Pelodiscus sinensis: one gene and its partner. The protein of the gene in region 1 interacts with the protein of each later gene in a pairwise test. Links are inferred from orthologs where the notes say so. Each region holds a gene or a part of one and is shown on either strand. Other genes may lie near its edges.

Region 1 (8,058 bases):
TAAAGTTACTTTTAAACAATCTAACGAGCAGATTCGTTCGCTCAAATCTGGTTTTTTTTTAAATACTCGGGTACATTTTGAAAGTACAGAGGAGTGCCAGAAATATCCCATCTCTCTTCGTTGCAAGAAGAGAAGGAGAAAAACGACTTGATCTGTACGAGGCCTAGCTAAGCCGTGTAAAGTGACTAGTAGAGGGGCAAAGCGGGTAGAAATTAAAGAGGTTTGATGCTCACCCGGGTAACCCACGGAGGGGTGCAGTAAGTCCATGGCAGGTCCGGTCAGCCCCAGCCCATTCATGCCATAGGGGGGCTGTTTGAGGTAAGACATCATGCTAAAAGCTGGAAAGATTTTCCCCGATTGATCACAAAAACAAAACAAAAAGTCTTAAAACGTCTTGAAGTCACAAAACGGGTTCTTCCAGGCGAGGGCAGAAAATCCGGGTGCAGAACAGTCTCCTCGCTCCCTAAAAGAAAAACAAAATACACACGGAACAAAAGACAAACATCAGAAGCTCTTCGGAGCGGAATCGACAAAACCCGGTGACTTCGCAGGGCGCGCTACACACCGCTGGGATTCGGAGTTTGAATTCGCGAGAGAAGAGCGGCGCCGATCACATTAAAATGAATCGAAAGCGCAGGGAAGTTTTACCTATTTGTGCGTCTATTAAATTAAATCGGTTTTTTTGCGGGGGGGGGGGGAGGTGGATTGCAAAAAGACACAAGAGCACAGACTCCTGTTCGTTGCAAAGGGAGTTGTATTTCTCTCTTCGCCAAAAAACAACCAACCAACCCACCCAACAAAACAACCAAAACAAAACCCCACGCAGTACAAATAAAATCGAAAGTTTCGCTCCTTTTCGTGGTCAGTATTATTGTTCGAAAGTTGTTGCGCGTCTAGAGAAGGGTGTGCGGGGGGAACAGTCAATATGGCCGACACCCCCCCAAACATAGTGAAATAAAAAAAGTACGAGAAGTGAGTTTTTTTTTTAAAGAGCAGAGCCATATTAGCATACAATCGCCGTGGGGGCTTGGAGGAGGGCACAGTACAAGTGATGGGGGGAGATAAAGCAATTATTTAAAAAGATAATTGGATTAGAAATCAAAACGAGCTATCAAAAGAGGGACGTATAATTAATTTAAGAGAGAGCAGAAGGGGACATTTTAATTAGAAATGGGTAGCAGTTAAAAAAACCCAAACAGATTTAGAAGCACTTTGAAATTCATATTCCAGGGGTTTCCTCCCGTAGGGGTGATAAACAAATTTGCACAAGGGGTGCGTGTGGGTGACGGAGGAAGTTTTCACGTCCTCTCACTAGGGATAAATAAAAGGGGGAATTGCTCTGCCTAGCTGGGTGACCTTACCCGGCTTTGAGAAGTGCCAACTCAAACCCGTCGCCTCACGGTTTCCTGCCAATTCAGTTTGTCTTGCTGTTCTCCAACAGCAAAGAATTTACAAGCGGGACCGCGGAACTGGAATGTATCTATTTCCCCCCCTCAGAGCCAAGTAAAAATTTCCAGGTAAAAATCCACAACCTTGATCCCAGCTCCTGAAATCTCTCTCCGCAGGCCACAGACACCTAAGCACCCTCAGTGTCCGCCACGAGAAAAACTAGAAGAGACCAACCAAATAAAATAAAATCTGAATTCCTGCAACAGATGGTGGCGGCTCTAATCACAAGTAATCACTTGCTACAAACTTTAATTGGGTGCAGGGCCATGTTGTCTCCAGCTGAGTTTCCTGTATTTGCACCAGAAAGATTTAAAAAAGGGGGGAGGAGGGGTTTGTTTGTTTGTTTTCGCCGTTAAGGCCATTTCCAAATTAATTTACATCCTCCAGGGGTGCTGGAGCAATGTGTATAGTGTGTGTGTGTGTGTGTGTGTGGGGGGGGGTAATATGCTGAGCGCCAATGCACCCAACTGTAAACTCTGCATGAGATGGAAAACACGGCACCCCCCGCACCCGTAGTTCCAGCTCCCAGGATCACCTGTTGCACTGGACAGCTGGGATCCCCTCTAGTGTAAATGGGTTTCGGTTTTAGGGTCTGGGTGGAAATTAAGCGCGTCCGGTTTAGCTCGCAGTTTGGAGTGAGCGGACACGCACGCAGGAGGTTTCCACAGGCCTGTGTGCACTTTCCTGCGGATTTCCCGAAAGTACCGAGTCCATTGCAAAGCGTCCTAACCTCCCAGGCCAAGGGGTGCTGTGGAGGCCGATTTATCCTCCCAGAGACTCCCGACCAGCATCGGCGCCCGCGCCTCTAGTCCCAGAGAGCGCCATGGACACAGAAGCGCCCCAGGCCGGGAGAGAGGGCTCCAAAGAGGATCCGTGGCTTGGCGGTGGCGCATCGAAGGCAGCAGGTTCCCCCAGGCCAGGCCAAGCCCTGCTTCCCTCTGAGCGGCTCCTGGAGAGGAGCCTGGCCGGGCCTGGAGTGATTTGGCCCCATTATGTAAGTTTCTTTGCCAGCCCCACAGCGGCACCCTCCCAGGCAGGGGGAGGAGGCGGGGAGAGAACGGCGCCGCACATTCGGCTAAGACACAATCCAGGAGTCCCACACCCACCAGCACCCCCGGGCAGGGCTTCGCCAACCCCCGCGCGGGACCCGCCAGCTGCGCTACCAGGGAGCGGAACTTGGCCGGGGAGTTGCAAAGTCTGGCGGGGACACGCGGGCAGCCCGGAGCGCCTCGCCCGGCTCCACCAGGGGCCAAGGTGCCGAGCCGGGCTCAGCCGCACAAGGGGCCAGGCAGAGCAGACGGGCCGGGGCGCCCCTGCTGCTCCCGGAAAGTCCGGGCTGGGGGGGGGGGGGAAGCTCCTGCAGCCCATAGCGCCGGGACAGATTGCGCAGGAACCAGGAGCCTCACCTGCCCGTACCCCTGGGGCGCTGCCGCTAAGGCCCCGGCCAGGAGCGGACGGGCCAGATTCCGGGCGCTTGCAACGGGCTCCCTACTGTCCCCCTGCCCCGCGCTGCCACCCGGGGGGGGGGGTGAGTGGGGGCGGCTCCTTGCACTTTCTTTGCGGGCAGCGCTAAGTTCTGCGGGGCGCCGGGGCCGCGCGTGGGGCAGGGCAGGGGGGAGCCGGCCCCGCAGCGCATCCAGCGCGTTACCTTGTGGCAGGAGCGGTCTGGCCCGGGCGCTTAGGTGATTGGAAATGTAGCCTGATGAAGATTGATCACCTTTCCACCGCCCTACCCTTGTATGTGAGCGCGAGGCAAGTGCGTAACCGGCCCGGCGCCAATCCCCGGCCTCCCCCAGCCTGACTGACAGCCGCCTTGGCCAATGGCAGCTCAGGATGCGGGTTACCTCTGCACGCCCCCTCCCTCCTCTCCGGCTCCCCACTCCACCCCAGCCCTGCCGCGCGCGCCGGCTCCCCCGGGGCAGGCGGCGGCGCAGCCCCTGGTGCTGTCCTGCCCGGACAAAGCCCGTCCCGGGTGCAAGTGACTCGGGACTAGCTCGGGGGAGGGGCTCCCGGAGTGCCCCGGCTGGACTAGCGTACGCTCCGCCTAGCCCGGCGCCCACAGGGAACTTTCTGCGCGTTTAATTGCTGCCCGTGCGCGTCTGTGTGAAGCTGAGTTGTATTTGCGCGCGCACTGAGCAGCGCTTCTCCCTAGGCGCGCAGCGAGCAAACCTGAACTCCAAGGGGCGACAGCGCCTAGCCGGGCCGCCCGGAATGTGGAGCAAGTTCCTTCTAGTGGGTTTCCCAGTCCTGCCCCAGCCTGACTTTTTCTTCTACGACTCCACTCGCTCTCCCAAAGTTTGCAACCCCCGTTTTTTCGTACGCTCCGGTACGAACCAGGGCTCCTAAGTGCGCAGAAATGTATGTCACGAAGGAAGGCTGGGATGGCTGGTCTGCCACCGGCAACGCCCTGCAAATCACCCCTTTCGTTCCCGTTTGTGTTTGGGCAGGACCTAGGCTGGGAGAGAAGGATTGTGCTGGCCTGGGATGGGTTTCGTTTCACGGGTTTCCCCCTTTCCGAAACATCCCAAGTGCCCGTTCTGAAAATCGGTCCCAACCTTTATTTGAAGCGCGCCGCTCGTGAAACCTACACAACGAAGGAAGCGAAGGGAATGGCGATGGGTGACCATAAACTTGGGCTTTCCCTCTCCAAGCTCTCAGGCCCCACAATGATCTCGACATATATATGTTTAAGTTGCGCCGTCTCATAAATATTAACGAAGGGCCCTAATCTCTTCCTAAGAATCACTCCTTTTTTTTGTAGTTTAATAGGAGAATGTCCAATAACACAAAGGGAAATCTGAAAAGGGGGTAATAATAATAACATGCAAAAAAAAAAATCAACTCGTTGCCAGCAAAATAAATTAAACGCGGCCGGGCATCAAAGTAAGTGTTTTTCACGAGACACTTTCCTTTGGCGTCCCAATAAAACACGGTAACAGAATATCATGGATGCACACTGTTTCCCTAACTGCTTCTCAAAGGGTCCAGGCGATCTTCTTAGGACCTTTAATAAGGCTTTGGTGCGGGTCTTTTGTTGATCTCTCAAAATCAACTCCTTCTCATTGAAGCTGGAGCTGAAAGCGAGCTAATGTTCAAAGGAAGTGACCGCCGGCCCAAACGAAATTACATTTTTTTTCGGGCGATGAGGGGACATCTAATCAAAGCGGGGGGGGGGGCGAGGTAGAAGGAGGAGAAGGGACGAAAGAAAAGGAGGGTTTACAAGATCTTTCTATAGTCCACAAAAGTCAGCGACACGGGCACTTCTCCGGGGAACAAAGGCGCCGCAGCCCATTCACAAAAAGTAAAGGGCTGTCAGGGGACACCAGTCCCGGGGTCCCTACCTTTGCCTTTGTAGGCACAGGGAGCAAGCCCCGCTGAGGCACCTGAACCTTTGTCCCAGGGTGGTAGGCCAGGAGTTGGGGGCCGATTTTTAAGCAGGAAGGGCTGTTCTCCAACGCGCGCCCGGGCAAAGGGAGCCCGGCCAGGCTCGCCAAAAAGCCCATATTCTCGGCTGCGCCCAACTCCCCAGCAATCGGCTCCCGGTTATTCGTGCAGGAGAGGGGGTTGCTTGGCCAGCCGGGGCTCGGCTGCCCGGCCCGCTCCCGCTTGGAGCTTGGCTCTGGCGCTGGGGCTCAGCCCCACAGGCTGGGGCTGGGAGCGGGGAGGTATCAGGTAGCACTGGCCCCTGCCCGTGCAATCAGAGCACTTGTCTAATCCCAAATTGCAGGCGAATTTTCTTAATGCGCAGCCCATAAAAGCCCGGGATTAGGGGGAGGCAGGGGGCACACGGCGCAGAGCGAGCGCGCGAGAGAAAAGTTTGGCGCCGCGCTGGGGGCTGCACGCAGAGGCGGCGGCGCAGCAGCCGCGGCGGAGGCGCAGGGGGGGCGGTCAGGGTACCCCGTCCTGCCCCCACCCATCTCCAGGGACCGCGCTGCAAGGGGGAGCGCTGGGTGCGCACAGGTAAGCGCCTGCGGGGCCCGGCCTTCCCGTAGCCCCTCTCGGCCCCCGGGAGGGGGGTAGGGTCCCAGGGCTGCAGCCGGGCACCGGAGGCGTGTGCGCGGGATCCCGCAGCACCTGCTGCGCCTGGGCAGGACCCCGAGGCACGTGGGAAGCTACAGGGGTTGGGGCGCTCGGGGGGAGGGGGCGTTTGACTGTCTCGCCCCCATTGACCCAGGAGCCCCTGGGCTGGCTGGGACGGGGGGGGGAGGGGCGGGAGTTCAGCTGGCTGCAGCGAGTTTGCCAAACAACCGGGCAATGCCGCGGGGAGAAGCCCCCCAAGTTCCCTGCTCCCTGCAGCGGCCCCGGAGCCTGGGGCTGGACCCTGCTGGCGGAGAACAGCCCGGTGGACGCTGCTTCTGACCCCTCCCCCCGGAGCATTTCAGCCCCTTGGCTTAGTGGCCAGCGCTGCCCTGGAGCGCCCGCGTCTCGCTCTGTGCTCCGTGCCCCAGCATGTCTCCCCCTCCCGGTTCCATGCACCCTCTTCTTCCGCGCCCCCGCTAGCCCACAGCCCCAGCCCGAGGGCTGAGCCACCCCCTGGAGCCCGGGCCAGAGAAACCTGCGCCCGGGAAGGCAAAGCGAGCCGGGCCCAGCCCCTGAACGGGCCAGTTGGAAAAGGCCAGAGGACGCCAGCTGTCAAAACTTATTCCCCCTTCATCAGAGCGGAGGCAGCAGCGAGGACTCCGCCGTGGCCGGTGTCATTGGCACAGGCTCCTGCTCCGCAGCCCAGGGCCCTGCGAGGGCGAACAGCTGTTCGCTGCGAATTAACCAATTCTCCTCTGACTCTTAGGCGCCGAGAAAGCGCGTTAACCTACATTAACCACCCCAAAGTGCGCACTTGTCTCGGGCCAAATCAAGAGCGGCTGGTCCAGCAGGCCGGCAAGAGAGAACACAGCCCAGAAACGGAGGTGATGGGCGGGGGTGATAGAGTCAAAGGGCGAGGGGGAGAAGGAGGCAGATCCGGGCCCGATTCGCATCCCCCAGTGAAAGGAGATAAGAGGTTTAATTCATTTAGCATATGAACCACCTCGGCAAGGGATTCCCATGATGGGCAGATCCGAAGGCACATGCCCAGAGCCCCGGTATTTACACTGGCACTTTATCATTTTAACCGGATTATTCACGAGGTGGATTTGGTAACATCTCGTGTGTTCTCTCCGCACGGGTCAGAAAACCGCGTCTCTCTTCCAAGCCGCGGCGGCAGGCGCAGGAGCAGCTGCTGAGATGGGACTCTCCCCTAGCCCCACTTGGCTGGATTTTGCAGCGATTGGATGAGGGGATTTGATTTTCACCGGGGCTCCATGGCGCAGGAAGGTGGCGGGGCCAGCTCCCCCAAAGTGCCCGCGGAGCCACTGGGTCCCGTCCCAGAAACTTCGCACGAACTTTTCCCCCGGCCTGGGAGGCGCAGATTTGAGCGGCAGCATTCCTGTATGCGCCGGCTGGGCTGTCCTTTCCTAACTGAGGCATGATTTATAGTCTCTTGTAAAACTTCGCTGGCACTCTGAAGCCTAAACCTGCCGCATTATTATTTTCAGGTCTTCCCAATTTGTCGAACAGACTTCCTTTTGTTAGGGAGAGGGCTGGTTTGCTACTGGAATGAGTTGAGCAGGCGGATACAGGCATACGGCTGCGCCATGTCAAAAGTTGAACTTTTTGTCTGGCTTGGTGGTTCTATCACTAAATACAATTTTTTAAAAAATTGCAGTTCGCTGAGAGTTGACAAAGAGCTTTGATCTGGCCCGCTGAGCTATAAAAAGGCAAGCCACTGCAAAGGAAGGTGAAGAAAACGATGCACTGTGGCCAGTTCTGAAAATCTTGGACAAAGTAGCAGTGACCAGAGGTCTGATTTGCAAAATCTTAATGTAAACCGGAACAGGTTCCAAAAAAAGAGAAATTGGAACCTTCTTGGACAAACAAGACTTGTATCTGGAAAAGTTTTACAAATAAAACCAAGGCCATGGCTTTTTAATCCTCACCCCCAAAAGAAAATTCTATTTTTGTATCTGAAGGTGTATCTTTTGCCTCTAGACTGGTGCCAGGTAGGAAGCTGTTGCATTTGCAAATCATTTTTTACAAATTCATTTTAAAAATTAAATAAACCTTTCCCCATCTCCCCTCCCCCCAAACAATCAGAAGTAAACTTTTCACACTGGGAAGAGAAGACAGCAACAGTTAACGGTAAGAAAGATTCAGCTTTTATTGAAAATTTATATATGACTCAGTATTGTAATAAATAACAGTTTTCACAAAAATGAGCGAGCAATGGAAGCAAAAGGAACTCTAACTGAGAGGGGGTTTGCACACAATGGCAGAACAGACTTTAATAGCTACTGAATAAATATGAACAGCATTCTGGAGCCAACAAAATGGAGAAGGGAACAAAACTAGATGTAATAAATAATTATAAAAAAATGGCGTAGCCTTTAATGACAAAATGTTTCTGTAAACTGATGCACTTCAATTAGCCCCATCTCACACCACATCTTCAGATCACAAGGCTCTTTTCAAATCACATGGTAAAGAACTGGTCTCGGAGCGAATCAGACAGTCTTAATTTATATTATACATACAATAAAATGTAAAACGTTTCTGAAATAAACACTGGTAAATATA
Region 2 (7,643 bases), on another chromosome or scaffold:
GTCCCCCCACCAAAGTTCATCTAGCATGCGAGTAGTGAATAAATACTAAGGATCACTCATACCTTAAACTCCTCCAAGATTTTGTAATTTTTCCCATGATATTCACAAAAATTTTTCACTTCTTTGCACTCCGGGCAACATCCATTGTGTTCCACTTTAGTACACTTTGGGTGGATTTTAGGACATTCGGGTTGATCACAAACAGGCCCATCCTCAGTACAGACACAAGGGCAGTTGGAATGCCCTGGGAAAAAACGTTCTCCCAGTTTGTATACAAAGCCACTGTCATCCACACAGCCTTTCCCTCGATAGTCGTCAAAGATCAGATTGTCATTACTGGAGGTCTGGTCGCCTTCATCGGCAGGGTAGTCTTCATGATTGATGGCAGCTGGGGTGACCAACCCAGGTATTAGTAACAGAAGTAGGCATGCTTCTTGGATATGACAAGCCATCCCCCTCCTCAACTTCCATATACGGTCCTAATCTCAGATAGAAACAGCTGCTTCCATAGGGGTACCAGAGGAGTGGTCTGAAAACAAATAGTTAAAATAAGAATAACTTGAAATAGTCACAAAAGCAGACATAGGAAGACCACACTTTCAACCCACACCAGTGGTTTCAAAACATGCAGATGTTAAAAACTGTTTAATCTGAAAGCAGTTTTTTCTCCTCAGTTATTCCTAAGAAAAACAACACATGCTACATAGGGCCAATAAAGTGTGCATTTGTATAGATGTAGAGAGAGACAAATGTACACATACAGTTCATGCATACAAGGGCCTATAGAAAATCTCCAATCAAATGCTGGTTTATCATGATGCCTAATGTTTGCTTTTTCCTATTTGGAAAATATTGGTCATTGGAAACACAAAGAAATGAAATAATTGCCTGAAATTGAAATAGTAAGTAGGCAGTTCACTGGCACAGAACTTGGGATCAAAACAGTTCCTTTCTTTTTTGGTGTAACCACTACCTACTCTTTTCTACAATGCATGGCTCAGTTTCTTAAAATCAAGAGGATAAAAAGGCCAGAGAAGCTTTATCAGACAAAATCACAGAAGGTAAAACAAGAATTATATGGGCTTTAGTCTGATCTGAGCTTCCCATATGAAAAACAAAACAAAACAAAACCCTGTATCTTATATAGGCTTAGAGAGTTAGAATTCCTCAGTGTTTTAAATATGGTATTTTTACAGAGCAAGGTAAAGAGGCTGGGCTGGTAACATCTGTCAAGCCTGTAGGTTTCTTCTCCTTCTTCTGTAGTGTAATTGTCCTTATTTGGCATTTCTAGACACTGACATTTTTCAGGGCAGCAGTTTTCAGACTTATATTAATGTCCAGCGAGGAGTTCATAGATCAGTATTTTAAAATGTCTGGCATGTACACGGCATTACCATAATAGATTTGTCTCATTAGGTTAGTGACAGTCTCCATGCTAAAACTTAGTATGCCAGCACAGCTACATAGAACAGCCAGCGGATTTGGCAATGGAGAATAATATTTAAATGGGCAAGGTAATGATTGACAGATTGGAAAAGGAAGGAAAGCCCATCCCTATCCCAGGAAAGAGCACTCCACATATGATTTGCTGTTACTTTATTGTCTGTGTTGTGTGTCACACCACTGTCATCAAGGTGTGCATTTTCAATCCTTTTCTAAATGCCATTTGGACTTCAGTGTAATGCCAGCAGAAAAAGGGTCTCTTGCTGGTTTTCTGATAATGGGGCAAGGAACGGTCATCCTAGAGTGAAAAGTATTTGCAGGAAACTTTTTAGTAACTGGAATATTAGTTTTATGTTTATTACTAGTCAGGTATGGATTGCCTGCTAATAGCATACACAGGACTACTTGAATAAATAAAATTATGAGCATTTGAACACAGACACAACCAACCCCTCCCCCATCAATACACACATACTTATAGAGATCTGTTTCCTCTTCCTCCTCCCCAAAGAGACATTTCCTGTCGACTCAGATTATATTAAAAATCTGTCAAAAAGAATGAATCAGGAGGAAGCTATAATCTCACAAGATAAGCTAACGGATCCTGCTAAGCAAGACAGTTTTCCCAAAACTGCTACAGAGGGAGACACCGGATATTACACACGCTTTGTCAAAATCAAAAGATATCCTCTTAATTGAAGTGCTAGCTATGTTTTTATCACAAGGGTAAGGCACTGAAATACTGCCAGCCACAGCTGTTGTAGCATGCTGTGTTGTTGTTTTTTCTAAGTGGGATGCACCCAGCTACGTCTGCATTAGAGATTTGGAGAGTAAAGAGTTTTGCTCACCTACCAAGCCACAGGTAGGCATCAATTTTCTATGGTCAGGCAAGTGAAGATTTACGAAAAAAAAAAGAGCAACTGGGAAACAGATATTTGAGGTAATGTGCAATGAGCCAAGCAGCCCAATGAAGCTACCCCAAGTTTGATGGCCAGGCACTCAGTAGCAAAGCATTATAAATCAGTGCTGGTGTGGGCTAATCTTAGCTACCACACACCAATTCCAAAGACCCAGTCTAACGAATGGGAAGGAAACTGACCCGACTGCAGCTTCGTTCTCGGGAAGCGGGTCCCCAAGTAAACAAACCCGGCTCAGCTACGGATTAGTGAGCAGCTCAACTTTCCCATCCTTGCTCATGCCCAGCGATGGGTCCGACCCTGCGAGCAAGCCAGGTCTCCCCCCGAGTCATTGCTACTCACCTCGCAGGCTGGGGAAAAGCTGCCGGGGGTCACAGGCCAGCCTGGATGGAACGGCTGGGCGATCTGTTAGCACTAGCAGCACATCACTCGTCCAGCGCCGGCTCCCGGAGCATCCCTGCCCATGTCCCAGCCCGGAGCAGCCGCCGCCACCGGAGAAAGCAGCTTCGCCCAGCGTTCAGGCTTCACAGAGCCGCTCCGGAGGCGAGAGTGGCTCGCAGCCCCCTGGTCTTCAGCCGCAGCAGCAGCAGCAGCAGCGCACGCATCGCCTCCAGCTGCCTTTCCGCGGGTCTGGGCGTCTGAGAGCCTCCCCACACCCCCCGCCGCAGGAGGACGGGCTGGCTGCGCGGCAGCTACCGGCGGCTGGGAGCCAGCCCCGGATGGCATGCAGGCGGCAGCATCCCCTGGCGCCGCGTCCGCCCCCTCTCCGGGCCAAGGGAGGGGACTTGGCCGGCTCAGGCACGGGAGCAACTTGCCCAGGGCTTCAGCCCCACGGAGCGCAGCGGCTCTGCGGCGGGGCACATACTGCTAGCCCGGCTACCTTCAGTACCGCGGACAGCGCCCCTGTCCGATCCCTTCAGCACCGCAGACAGCGCTCCGCAGAGCCCAGCCCGGACTCCCTTCAGCACCGCGGACAGCGCCCCGCAGTGCCCAGCCCGGGTTCCCTTCAGCACCGCGGACAGCGCCGGGCAGATCCTAGCCCAGCTTCCTCCAGCACCGCGGACAGCCCCCCTCGCGGTCCTTCTGCACCGTGGACAGCGCCGCGCAGTGCCCAGTCGGGGATCCCTTCAGTACCGCGGACAGCGCCCCGCACGGGCTGGGCTCCCCGGCCGCTAGGAGCCCTTCCAGGGTGGGGGCATCGCCGAGCGCCAGAGCGGGCAAACCCACCCCGCCCCCGTCCCCGCCCTCCCCCAGAGCCAGACGGGCCGGCTCCGAGCCGGGGAGAGCCGCCCCGGGCAGCCCACGGCGGGGCTGAGTCCCAGGCAGCGCCGGTGCTAAGGCTGAAGCGCCCTGGCGCGCCTGCAGGAGGAGGCAGAGATCAGGCGCCTGTCGCCAGCTCTTGTGCGCTCCTGCCCAGCCAGAGACTGGGGGGAGGGGGTTGGGAATGCCCCACGTCGCTGCGTTAGTCAAACTTCAAGGCAGCTCCCAGGCGAGGCTGGGGGTGGGGAAGCCGGGAGCTGGCTGTGCCACGGAACAAACCAGGCTCTTTGCAATTCGTCTGGGCTGGCATTAGGCGTCCTTGGGAAGCTACTGCTCCCGCAGCCCCCACAGGAGGGTCCCGGGGCCCTGAAAGACACACACAGAACAACATACACAGACACGCTGGGTTTTATTGGGCCCAGCTACAAACGCGCTCCCCGCGCACGCAGCAGTGAAGGCGCTGAGCCAGCTGATTGCTGCTGGTTCCCTGCAGCCTGGCTCCTCCTCTTCCATCCAGCCACCTCCAGGGGCTCAGCACCACAGCCGGACGGTCCCATCCGAGCCCCCCGACAGCAAGTGCTCTGCCCTGTGATCAAAGACCACGCTCTGCACCTCGCCCTCATGGCCTGCCAGGCTGGAAAGCTGCCCCGAGCTGACGTTCAAGGTCTTCACCGTGCCATCGTTACTCGCAAGGGCTACAAGGTGACCTGCAATTCAGAGCAAAGGAATCAAAGCTCCAGAGGGCCAGGTCTGCAGGAGCCAGTCCTATGCCATGGACTCTTTCATACAATGCACCAAAGGTAGCATACCCTATGCTAGATCTCAGATCCTCGAACTCCATTATCGGAAAGTAGCACCAGTCAATAACAACAGACTCCATTTTAGAGTGATAAAGTGAAGCTAAGGATTTGGCCTGGCTGGTCATTGGAAAGTCAGGTACTTTGTTTTTAGTTTAAGAACAGGAAAACAACCATATTGGGTCAAACAAAAGGCCCATCTAGCCCAGTATCCTGGCCAACACTAGGTGCCCCAAAAGAAATGAACTGAACCAAGGAATCATCAAGTGATCCATCCCTGTCACCCATTCTCAGCTCTGACAAGAGGCTAGGGACACCATCCCTACCCATCCTGGCTAGTAGCCATGGATGGACCTAACGTCCATGAATTTATCTAGCTCTTTTTTGAACCCTGTTACAGTCTTGGACTTCACAACATCCTCTGGTAAGGAGTTCCACAGGTTGTGAGTTGCATGAAGGAGTACTTCCTTTTGTTGGTTTTAAACCTATTAATATCACTTGGTGATCCCTGGTTCTTCTGTTATGGAAAGGAGTGACTAACTCTTCCTTATTCGCTTTTTTTCTACACCAGTCATGATTTTATAGACCTCTATCATATACCCCCTTGGTTGTCTCTTTTCCAAGCTGAAAAGCCCCAGTCTTGTTAACCTCTCTCCGTATGGTAGCTGCTCCATACCACTAATCATTTTTGCCCTTTTCTGAACTTTTTCCAATGCCAATATCTCTTTTTTTAGATGAAGCAACCACATCTGTATGCACTGTTCAAGATGTGGGAGCACCATGGATTTATACAGAGGAATAAGATATTCTTGGTCTTATTCTCTATCCCTTTCTTAATGATCCCTAACATTCTCTTTACTATTTCTACTGCCACTGCACACTGGGTGGATGTTTTCAGAGAACTATCCACAATGACTGGCAACTCTTTTGCTTGAGTGGCCTTCATCATTTTATACATGCAGTTGGGATTTTGACATAATATAGGGCCCAATTCTGATTCACATAGAAGCACCTTCATTGAAGGTACCTTTGCTGAAATCAGTCAGCACATCTGGATTAAGATGCCTTTGGTCTAAATGAACCTGAACCAGAACCAGGCCCACCAACATTTAATATTGATATTCTCAACATAATATATGAAGGTGCCTAGATGAGTTTAGACACCTCACATCCACTGAACATTAACAGGAGTTGGGCACATAACACCGATAGGTTCCAGTGAAAACTCCCAGCCTAATTAAACAGTTAATACAGATGTGGATACAGCAGTTAAAAGGGGGAGAAAAGATTTTAAAGAGTCCAAAGTTTCCTTATGTTTCTTTACAAATCAGGCTACCTCTATATTTTATCAGTTGGGACAAGTCCAGGATGTATTTATAAATTTCTTATTTTGCAGTTTAAACAAAAAGCATCAGTAAAACCTAGCAATGCAGGCTGAACCTCCCTAATCCAGCACTCTCTGGTCTGCTAATATCTGTGGTCCAGCATGATTTTAATTAGCCAGATGTTCACTTATTATGGGTGTGGCCTAGATGTTCACTTATCATGGGTGTGGCCTAGTTTCCCACGGTCCCATAAAGTTTCTTTGCAGCTACCAGTCCTGGGTCTCAGTGTTCTGTGCTGTTCTTTAGTTTTAATATACCTCTAAATGTCTTCTAGGAGTCCACTGAGCAGTGGAAGAATTGGTAATGATTCTGGACAATATTGACCTCCTATGGCTCAGCAAATTCTCTGGTTCAGCAGCAGTCAGGTCCCAAGGGTGCTGGATTAGAGAGGTTCAACCTGTACATTTGACTCCCCCTTCATTTTCTCAGATGAGGGAATCTCTCTGCTTCAAAATTATAATCAGGATCTTGACATATGTGCATAGACACACAGCAATAACTATATCCAACAAGAGATCAATACATTCTTTCCAAGGCACAGATGGGCTGCTCAACAAAGCCATCATTGTATTTCAAGTCATGATTCTGGTCAAACACTGTTAGCTATTAGACACAGGTTCAATATTCCCTCAATGATTAAAGCCCTTTTTATGTATCAAACAGTACTTTTTCCCCCCTCTCAAAGCAAAGACAAATCACCCACAGAAGTTGAATTAGTGCTGACAAAGTCAATGTGGTATTGAAGCAATCGTTGGGTGAGCAAGAGTAGTTTAAACAGGGCCACATGTTGGCAACCTTACTCTATGAATAGCTTGATCAGGACTTATGACCACATGCAAGTGTGTGGGGAAGAATCTGGCCCCCCAAAATGTGATTTTAAGGACACTGAAGCTACAAGGCAGAATCTGATGTAACTTTTATCCTGGAAATAGATTATCTGCCCCTTCAGACAATAATGTCTCCTGTTCGCAAAATTGTTTTGGCAATATCATCTTAAAAATGCATGGAGACCATCTCATTACTGGTTATGCCGGGAGTGGTCATGGCTATTTGTACAGTAGGTGGAAGTATGAAAGTAGAGCTAACCATGATAAATATGCCCCATTTGCAAACCTTTATAACTACTGGGCTTCTTCACCTAAAACAAAGCCTGACACAGCAAAGATCAGTAGGATAGATTAGAGTGTCCAAAGCACCAGATGCAAATATTTATTATAAACTCTCTCTTAGCAAGTCTTTGCTGACAGAAGCACTACATATGGATTTTACTTGCAACCAGACTCTATAGGCAGTTGCTGGGAGGTTTCCCCTAAAAGGCAAACAAATGACTTTTAGCTCAGAGTCTGAATCCTGAAATAGCTGGGTAGGGGGTTACCATCACATTTCAGCTTTTAAAATGGGAACAAAGGCTTAGATTCAAAAGAGATGATTTGGACAGTCCTACTTTACTTTAAGAAAACTAAATCAATTCAAATACATATTTGAAACAATACATTTAAGTGTTTAGTTAACATTTTTGCTGACCACGAGGGGAGTAGAACAGGCCTTAATGAAATGGTGCATCTTTATTGCCTTTGCCTGTTAAATCACGTCTGAAAGACACAGGTACAGACTGAATCTTTCTAGTCCTGTACCCTCGGAACCTGACTAGATCTGAACAAAAGAATTTTCTGGACCATGGGAGGTCTAGCAGCATTACCAGCACTTCTACTGCTTATGGGGCTGTTAGAGGACATTTAGGAGTAAATTAGAGCTAAATAACAGCACAGAACAGAGAGTTGGATTGGTGGCTGTAAACAAACTTTATGGGACCGCGGGAAACTTGGCCATACTCATGAAAA

What was found.
Region 2: the proteins of OTX1 (region 1) and VWC2L interact in binary tests that used the Homo sapiens proteins (3 or more experiments, as listed by UniProt). The two-hybrid records come from large-scale screens. The link is inferred for Pelodiscus sinensis from reciprocal best matches to the Homo sapiens genes OTX1 and VWC2L.

The regions. Positions count from the first base shown.
Region 1 is NC_134713.1:185,274,529-185,282,586, forward strand, and holds the start of OTX1 (homeobox protein OTX1), read right to left. Parts: upstream 3,235-8,058; 5' UTR 3,098-3,234; intron 1,609-3,097; exon of another isoform or gene 1,533-1,608; intron 464-1,532; 5' UTR 331-463; coding exon 234-330; intron 1-233. UniProt on the Homo sapiens protein: Probably plays a role in the development of the brain and the sense organs. Can bind to the BCD target sequence (BTS): 5'-TCTAATCCC-3'.
Region 2 is NC_134717.1:60,601,943-60,609,585, reverse strand, and holds the start of VWC2L (von Willebrand factor C domain-containing protein 2-like), read right to left. Parts: upstream 3,235-7,643; 5' UTR 2,703-3,234; intron 530-2,702; 5' UTR 453-529; coding exon 63-452; intron 1-62. Other genes in the region: SPAG16 (sperm-associated antigen 16 protein), read right to left, coding at 4,152-4,327.